Linked DNA regions of Mus musculus. The protein of the gene in region 2 binds, or shares a complex with, the protein of the main gene of each other region. Links are inferred from orthologs where the notes say so. Each region holds a gene or a part of one and is shown on either strand. Other genes may lie near its edges.

The links. Proteins that work in one complex are often made in the same cells at the same time.
Region 1: the proteins of Npr1 (region 2) and Nppa are in contact, whole or in part, in a crystal structure (PDB 7BRG), measured with the Rattus norvegicus proteins. The link is inferred for Mus musculus from reciprocal best matches to the Homo sapiens genes NPR1 and NPPA. Residues at the interface, in NP_036745.1 of Rattus norvegicus: Asp90, Val115, Tyr116, Ala119, Pro120, Arg123, Ala139, Leu140, Gly141, Ile142, Val144, Tyr148, Tyr182, Asp184, Leu186, Gly187, Asp188, Asp189, Arg190, Phe193, Phe194, Val196, Glu197, Tyr200, Met201, Arg204, His213, Gln214, Glu215, Phe216; in NP_036744.1 of Rattus norvegicus: Arg126, Ser127, Ser128, Cys129, Phe130, Gly131, Gly132, Arg133, Ile134, Asp135, Arg136, Ile137, Gly138, Ala139, Gln140, Ser141, Gly142, Leu143, Gly144, Cys145, Asn146, Ser147, Phe148, Arg149, Tyr150.

The regions. Positions count from the first base shown.
Region 1 is NC_000070.6:147,998,350-148,002,911, reverse strand, and holds Nppa (natriuretic peptides A preproprotein), read right to left. Parts: upstream 2,191-4,562; 5' UTR 2,078-2,190; coding exon 1,958-2,077; intron 1,855-1,957; coding exon 1,528-1,854; intron 1,138-1,527; coding exon 1,126-1,137; 3' UTR 838-1,125; downstream 1-837.
Region 2 is NC_000069.6:90,452,058-90,456,277, forward strand, and holds part of Npr1 (atrial natriuretic peptide receptor 1 precursor), read right to left. Parts: coding exon 4,106-4,220; intron 3,963-4,105; coding exon 3,839-3,962; intron 3,713-3,838; coding exon 3,644-3,712; intron 3,210-3,643; coding exon 3,035-3,209; intron 2,860-3,034; coding exon 2,761-2,859; intron 1-2,760. UniProt on the Homo sapiens protein: Receptor for the atrial natriuretic peptide NPPA/ANP and the brain natriuretic peptide NPPB/BNP which are potent vasoactive hormones playing a key role in cardiovascular homeostasis.

The sequences.
Region 1 (4,562 bases), on a different chromosome or scaffold from region 2:
GACCTGAGTGATCTCAGAGAAGAAGCAGTGTTCACTATGAGCCCTGAATGTGTTCTCTGCTTAGAGCAGTGCCTTTCACAAGCTGGTATAAAAACACTGCACCTTAGCCAGACTTGGTAATGTAGCAAGGCAGGTCTCCTAGAGTCTGAGGCCAGCCAAAGCTACATAAACTAAAAGTAAATAAGGTACTGCATGTTTCCTGGTGGTTCTCTCCTCCACGCAACGTACAAGTTGAAGCTCCACAGTCCTGTGTTAGGGAGATTGTGGCTATTTTCAAATGCCTCTGGCTCCCTGAGTTTGATCTCCAGCACCGAGTGATACACGTGGATAGGTGGTGACGCAGCAGTGGGGTAGCCCACAAATCGTTTGAACTGGCCACCCATCAGCCTGTAAACCTTCCTCCTCTCAGCTGCTTAACCCACCCTCCATTCACACTTGCCCATACTCAGAGAGTGAAATTCACATGGTCACAGCAGCTGGCACTCTGTAACAGATCTGGGCAGTTTCTGGTTCTCTAAATGCCCCTTAAAGCCACCCAGGCTCTAACCAGAAAGGAATGCTTGAAACTTCTGAGCAGAGATGTCATTACCTGTCCTCAGGAAAAGGTGTGTTCGTGTTCCCTTTTCATGAATTAAAAATAAATGCCCTTTTCAGCCTGGGTGGACTTTCCCGGGTTCTGTGATGGAGGCAGAGCATTTTGAGGACTATGACGTGAGGCTCCCCCCCCACACACACACACACAGCAAGAAGAGGGAGGGAAGGAGGGAGAAATGAGGGATCAAGGCTGGGGAGAGCAAAGAACTGAGGGCAGAAGCCAAAGAAGCACATCAGGGCCTCGGCGTCTGTCCTTGGTGCTGAAGTTTATTCTTTTTTTTTTTTTCCAACTGCTTTCTGAAAAGGGTGAGGATCTACCTTAATATGCAGAGTGGGAGAGGCAAGACCCCACTAGACCACTCATCTACATTTAACATCGATCGTGATAGATGAAGGCAGGAAGCCGCAGCTCCAGGAGGGTGTTCACCACGCCACAGTGGCAATGTGACCAAGCTGCGTGACACACCACAAGGGCTTAGGATCTTTTGCGATCTGCTCAAGCAGAATCGACTGCCTTTTCCTCCTTGGCTGTTATCTTCGGTACTACAAAGAGAAAAATATACTGGCTTGATGATCTGCCTTTACTGGGCTAAATTGTTCCACTTGAACAGCGATCAACTATTTCCCACAAGCCACAGTCTAGCCTCTGTGATTAAACCGGCAAGCAAGGCACTGGTAAGCATTAATGAGGCAGTCTTGGCCCTGTATTCTAACTCCCCAGTGCTTGTGGCTCAGACCCTGCAGCAGCTGTTGTCATTGTCTTGAAACTCAAGGGACACCCATCGTAGTGAGGAAGAACTCACAGAGAAAATGATACATGCATCAGGCTCTCAGCTGCCAAAGATGCTCCCTGGTAGTGTCCCTTGGCAAGGTTTGAGCCCTAACAAGACCCCACCTGACCTCTATCCCATTTCCATCCACAGCTCCTCTTACCCGGAAGCTGTTGCAGCCTAGTCCACTCTGGGCTCCAATCCTGTCAATCCTACCCCCGAAGCAGCTGGATCTTCGTAGGCTCCGAGGGCCAGCGAGCAGAGCCCTCAGTTTGCTTTTCAAGAGGGCAGATCTATCGGAGGGGTCCCAGGGGCTGCGCCCTAGAGCACTGCCGTCTCTCAGAGGTGGGTTGACCTCCCCAGTCCAGGGAGGCACCTCGGGGAGGGAGCTAAGTGCGGCCCCTGCTTCCTCAGTCTGCTCACTCAGGGCCTGCGGGGGCATGACCTCATCTTCTACCGGCATCTTCTCCTCCAGGTGGTCTAGCAGGTTCTTTATAAAGGCAAAATAAATACAGAGAAAGGGGACGTCTCAGGAATGGACCCAGTACCAAAGAGACCCTGGTCCCAGTCTGTGTCCCACTTCCTGGCCCTACCTTGAAATCCATCAGATCTGTGTTGGACACCGCACTGTACACAGGATTTGCTCCAATATGGCCTGGAAGCCAAAAGGCCAAGACGAGGAAGAAGCCCAGGGTGATGGAGAAGGAGCCCATGCTGGCGTGGGTCGGGGCACGATCTGATGTTTGCTGTCTCTGCCCACTCTGGTTTCTTTCTCTCTCTCTCTCAGCTTTTGTCCGTCACTGTCTCCTAGCTGCCAGCATCTCCCGTTTTTATAGCCCCCCAGCTCTTTGAGAAGGCAGGGGGGCTAGAACCCTCCCCATTCTGTCACTTGCAGCGATAAAGCGATGGAGTGAGGAGCCAGCAGAAGATGCCCTTTTAAAGTTATCAGTTCGGCAAAGCTTGTCACGGCCCCTTTGCCTTGAGCAGCTCCACTCACCCCCCTCCCCCAGACCCTCAGCTGCAAGAGTCACATTCTTGCTGATTTGCCTCAAGAGGCCCCCACTTCAAAGGTGTGAGAGGAGCAGAAAAGAGTCCTTGGTTATCTTCCTGGGCGCTCGCCTCAGGATTCTTTCTCCCTGGCAACAGGACCCATGCAGGGAAGCAGAGGGTGACGGCTGGCCTGCACCCAGCTCCCCCTGCTTGCTGCTCAGCTGTCAGGGGCTCCAAATAAGGGCGGGAGAGGAGGCAATGACAGGCAGCTGGGAGGCCAGCTAGGCTGGCCAGGGAGTACACATGCTGGAGCTAGCTTCACACCTGATTCATCGGCCTCGTGGGTGGACCTCTGGCCCCAGACAGCCCACCCCCACCCTAGATGTCCCTGTTAGCAGTCAGGTGAAAGAGCTATTATTTTTTTTTTAGAGTATGAAGTCAGCCAGGAAGCCAACATGATACAGGCTCTAAAGAATTCAGCTACACGTGTAAACACCAAGGGATGTTAGAAGAGCATATTTCCTCTAAAGTTTATTTTTACTGCCTCCCAAGACTCGTGTCCAAGGTGCCAACAGGATGGGTTTGGAGGATGAAACCACTTTTCTTCTTTCCAAAGCCCAGACTCTGAGCATGAAATATGTGGTGGTCCCACCCTTCCCAGGGAAATAGAAGGAGGAGGTAAGGGATTGAGGGGGGGACACATACACCATTCTCCATAATGTCCTTCATGACCTTTGAGACCAAGGAAGTGAGCCATGAATTCTTCTGGCAGCCTCAGGAGCATGAGCAGGCAGTCCACCTTTAACAAGTGGTCTCCACACCCCAGTGTAGCCATTTTCGACATATGTATGCTTTGTGTGTGTGATAAGTGTGTGCATTTTCTGCTGCTCTCTGCTTTCTGACCGTCTTAATGGGCTATTGGAAGACTTCCACGCCCATTGACCCTGTGGCTGCCTGGTGGAGTTGTCATGTGGCTGGAAGTCACAAGAGGTGTCTGCGGTGATGTTTTCTCTAAGATAGAAAAAGAGAGCCCTTTGAGAAAGCTGGGGGTTGTAGGCAACCAATTTGGGTTGGCCAATCTCTCCTTGAAGTCTGAAATCTGTGCAAGTTCACACTGTCGCCTCCGGATGAGTCCCTGGGATGCGCTCACTGCTTAATTGTGTGCCTGGGGATTATTATTAGCAGAGAGGACTAGGCGAGCAGCCCTACTGGGGGAACTCGGGCTCCTTGCTGTGTGTGTCACATGACCTACCTCCTGGAGATGGTCTTTGAGTTGGGCAAAGACTTGAAGAACGGCTGAGGCGGGTGGCCTCAGACAAGTGCTGTTGCTTTTCTGTTCTGAGCCACATCTGAAGTCTCTATGTGGCCCTAGGAGAGCTATGATCCTGACCAGTGCCCCAGGAGTGCAATTTCAAGGTTTGCCCATCTTTTTTTGGCTAGAGTCAACTTTCCAGGGTGGAACTGGAGGGGACGTGAATGTCATCCACTGAGACTCTGTGACCTCAGGGTTTCCTTGAGGGGCAGGGGCAAAAGATGCTCTGCTGTGATGCTCTGCATGCTCTCCGTACCTCAGTGCCGCCATGTCCAACACAGTGTATAATACTGTGTCTGACAAGTGGTGGAGCCCATCACCCACTCAGCCCAGTCCTCTAGAAGCCTTTGATTTGAGCACCAATCGGAAGGCAACCCAATGTGAAGTTTCTCTCCATATCTCTAGTCCTGCTCTGCTTTGGGGTACCTTCCTGAGATGTCCAGAAGCCAGCCAGCCTTAGCTTTAGGAATGATAAAAAGAAAAGCAATAGGTAGGGCTGGGTGTATGCTTGATCTCCCAAGCAGGAGGACCTGAGGCCGAGTCCTCGGCATCATTCATAGACCCAGGCAGGGATGCTGGCACAGCATGCAATGCTGGGAGACGAAGACATGAGACTCTCTGGAACTTGCTGCCTGCCAGCCTAGCCCGCCCAAACAAACAAACAAACAAAAAATAACTTCAGGTTCAGTGAGAGACCTCACTTCTAGCAATGATTCTCAGCCTTCAATGCAGTTCCTCGGGTTGCAGTGACCTCCAACTTTAAAATTACTTTGCAGCTACTCCATAACTAATTTTGCTACCATTACGAGTCACACTGCAAATATCTGATACGCAGGATATCTGATATGTGACCTCTGTGAAAGGGTCATTCAACCCAAACATCAAAGGGGTCGTGA
Region 2 (4,220 bases):
AAGGTCTACAACGACAGTGCTCATTTCAAAAGGGTGGGTGCTGTCTGTGGCTTTAACTCCACTCTCATTCGTCTGAGGTAGACTTCAAGCACCTCAAATAAGCAAGTAAAGCACTCACAAAGTACTAAATGCAGAGTGGCACACAGGAAACACTATGTAAGTTGTTGGGATCAGTTAGTTGCCTCTACTGTGTGCGTGTGTGTTAGTATGCATGCATGTATGCATGTGTACATGCCTGGAGGCAGAGTTGTGAATTTTGAGTGTCTTTCCGTCACTTTCCAGTTTACTGTTAGACCCTGGCTCTCGCTGAGCCTGGGCTTACTATGGAACTCCCTGTTTGGGCTAGCCTTGACTAGCCGGTGAACTCCAGGAATCTGCCTGCAGACCTGTTCTCTGCATGTCCCTCCCTGCAGCACTGGGGTTACATGGCTCTATGCCCAACTGGAGAGTCAAATGCAAGTCCTCATCCTTGAATAGCATTTTACGCAGTGAGCCATCTCTCTAGACACTCCACCTTACCAGCACACACACCTTTTTGTGAAACAGTTTCATCTGGCCAAGGCTAACCTGAAACTTGGAATCCTAGTGCCCCAGCCTCCCAAGTGCTGGGATTACAGGAATGTACCATCTGCGTGGATCAGTATTCTCTTGTTATGGCTGAAGAATTGAAATCTAGGGCAGGTCTGCCCAAGCTGTCCCATTGAGGACCCGTTGTTCCCACTAAAGCCACTCTCACTCTGACCTGTGTCTTCGTGGTATCCCTTATTGCTGACCCACTTTTGAGAAGGTATTCTGTGAAGACTCATCTCTGAGAGACGTTCTTTCCTACCAGTCAGCCCCAAACATAGGTGCAAAGGATATCAGCTGAACCGCACTTCTTTGGGCTTTTAGGGCTGGCTTCTTACCAACAGGCTCTGGTGAGGGTCATATGGCCTTCTCAGCCTGATACTCGGTAGCTGCTTAGTAACTATTGACTTTACTGAATGTATCAAATATAGCAGGGAGCTGTCTATAATTCTAGCACTTGGGCAGTTAGAGTGAAAAGACAGGTCAGCCTGTCTGTCTCCACCGGTGTGTGTGTGTGTGTGTGTGTGTGTGTGTGTGTGTGTGTGTGTGTGTGTGTGTGTGTGGGGTGGTGGTGGTGGTGGTGGTGGTGGTGACAAAGGTGGTCAATCCTAGCACTCAGGAGGCAGAGGCAGGCAGATCTCTGTGAGTTTGAGACCAGACTGGTCTACAAATCAAGTCCAGGACAGCCAGGGCTTCTTGCTGCTTGTTTTTGGTTTGGATTAAAGGCTTGCGCCACCACACCCAACCTTGCTGGTTGTTTTACAAGCAAAACAAGAGACAGACAGAGAGAGAGAGAGAGAGAGAGAGAGAGAGAGAGAGAGAGAGAACCACATACACAAAAATAGAGGAAACAGGGGGCAAGATCAAGGGAGGGGTGGAAACAAGCATTTATTAGATGCCTACTGCCTACCCAAAGAATTGTGCTAGATCTTTTACAATTCTGAAACAGGGTTACTGTTGTATGGAGGAGCTGAGGCCCAGAAATGATAAATGACAGTTAGTTACATGCTTGGCATTTTATATTGTATTCTTATTATTTTTTAAAAAGATTTATTTATTTTATGTGAGTTCACTGTAGCTGTCTTCAGACAACCCAGAAGAGGGCATCAGATCCCATTACAGATGGTTGTGAACCACCATGTGGTTGATGGAAATTGAACTCAGGACCTATGGAAGAGCAGTCAGTGCTCTTAACCACTGAGCCATCTCTTCAGCCCCTTCTCTCATAATTAAAAAAAATTTTTTATTACCATTACTTATTTATTGTGAGTGGGGGAGGACATTTTCAGACTTGGGGGGATCATTTGTTTTTTGTTTTGTTTCACAAGACAGGGTATCATTATATAGCTCTTGCTGTCCTGGAACTCACTCTGTAGACCAGGCTGGTTTCGAACTTTGAAATATACCTGCCTCTGCCTCCTTAGTGCTGAGACTAAAAATGTGCATGCTAAAGTTTTTAAAAATAAAATTTAAAGTAATGTTTATCCATTTTTGTATGTGTACATACATTCATGTGGGTATGTGTTGAAGTCAGAGGACAACTTGTGGAATCCAATCTCCCCTGGAACCGTATGGGTCTCAGGGGTCAATCTCAGGTCACCAGGCTTGGCCAGCAAGCACCTTAATCCAGTGAGCCACCTCACCAGCAAAACACCTATCTTTGTGGGTGCATGAGTACATTAAACAAACAATTAATAATAATAATAATATTATTATTATTATTAAATAGACTTTGTTTCCCAAGCTGGTAGCTTAGGCCTGTTATCCCAGGTACTTGGAGACAACATCAGGAAAATTATAAGTTCAAGGCCAGCTTGAGTTGCTTAATGAGATCCACATTAAAATAAAGAATATAAATATCTTATATCACATACCTCAGTGTTAGGCCACTTGTTAAAGTCTCTTAAAAAAATTGTGTTAGAGTGCTTTGCTCAGATGTAAGCTAAAGAAAATGCTTTGAGAACACTTCTGTAGCTAACTAAGCTTTGGGGCTAAGGTGGGCTTAGTGCGTTTTCAACCCCATGTGTCACACACACACACCAATTGTCTTGATTTACAATGTGGTAGATACATGTATAGGGAAATGAGGGCAGGCAGAGAGAAGGCAGGAGCTAGCTGAGGAACTAGGTAGATAGAAGCAGCCGGATGTACTAAGTAGTCACCCTTCTCATTCCCTCAGGAGGGCCATCCTACCTTCCCCATTAGACTCCATTCTTGAAGCTGTGTTGACTGTGTCTCCAAAGAGGCAGTATCGGGGCATCTTTAGCCCTACCACACCAGCACACACGGGACCTGGGAGGGGAAAAGAAAGGAACAGAGTCCAGGGAAGTCAGAGGAGGTGAGCACCCCAGAAGAGGTAGGAGTTGGGATATGTGGTCCCAGGGTGTGTGGAGAGAGACAGGGGATAAAGGTTTAGTCTCGGACTTGTTTCTGAGTTTCAGCCTCCGGAGGCCTTCCGTGGTCAGACCTGTGTGAATTCCAATGCGCAAGCGCAGCTGTTCCTGGGGCCTATGGCGGATGCGGAAGGAGCGTACAGCATCGAGCAGTGCAAGTGCCATTCGGGCTACCTCTCGGGCATGGAGCTGTCCATTCCTCACTGGGAGCCCTGATACCACCATGTAAGCATCACCAATGGTCTCTACCTGTGGGGCGGGGGAGAATAAAGGACAAGCTTTGCCTGCGTTACCCGCCTACATTCTGTGCCTATCAACTGGCCTGTCAATGTACTCAGCCTCAGCCCGTTTCTCTGTCTGTTCCTGGGTTCCCCCCACCCCTGTGTGTTTCTGCCCATGTTCTTGGTCTTTGTTTTCTCCTCCTCCTCCTCTTCCTTCTTCTCCTTTGTTTTTTCAAGACAGAGTTTCTTTGAGTGTAGCTATGGGGTCCTGTCCTGAAACTTGCTCAGGCTGGCCTCAAACTCATAGATTTCCCTGCATCTATCTTCAAGTGGTAGGATTAAAGGTGTGCACCACCATGCCTGGCCTTTTTTGTTTTGTTTTGTTTGTTTCAGAGGATCCCTCTGAACATTTTCTGACTGTCCATGTCTGCCTGTCTTTCTTGTCTCTACTCATAACCTCACCTTGTACACATCAAAGTTGTCTATGACAGCATCAAAACAGGTGTACAGATCATTGAGCAGGGTGACCACCTGGAAGGCAAAGGAAGCCAAGAGAAATGGTGAATGAGGGCTCCCACCAGGGACAAGTGGAGAGTACTAACCAGGTGGCCAAGCTGACCTACCTGGCCTGTTGCCTGTGGCTGAACCCCGGCTTACCTGCATGGGTGTGCTCTCTGCTGAAAGAGCTGTAAAGCCCACGATATCACTGAAATAGATAGTAACACTATCAAATGCCTCAGCCTGGACTGTCTCGCCTCTCTTCAGCTGCTCAGCCACAGAGCTGAGGGGAGAGGGCAGGTAGAGACCAAGAGGTGAGATGGGATGGGGACAGGGCTATACGTTTGTGTGTGTGTGTGTGTGTGTGTGTGTGTGTGTGTGTGTGCGCGCGCGCGCGCGCGCGCGCGTGCAGAGTTTAGAACTCACTGAGGCAGAATCTGGTAAAGCAGGGCCTCAGCTTTGCGCTTCTCCTCCAGATAAGCCTGTGTTCTCTCCTCTACCAGTTCCTCCAGGTTGTTGGCGTACTGTTCCATGCGTGACA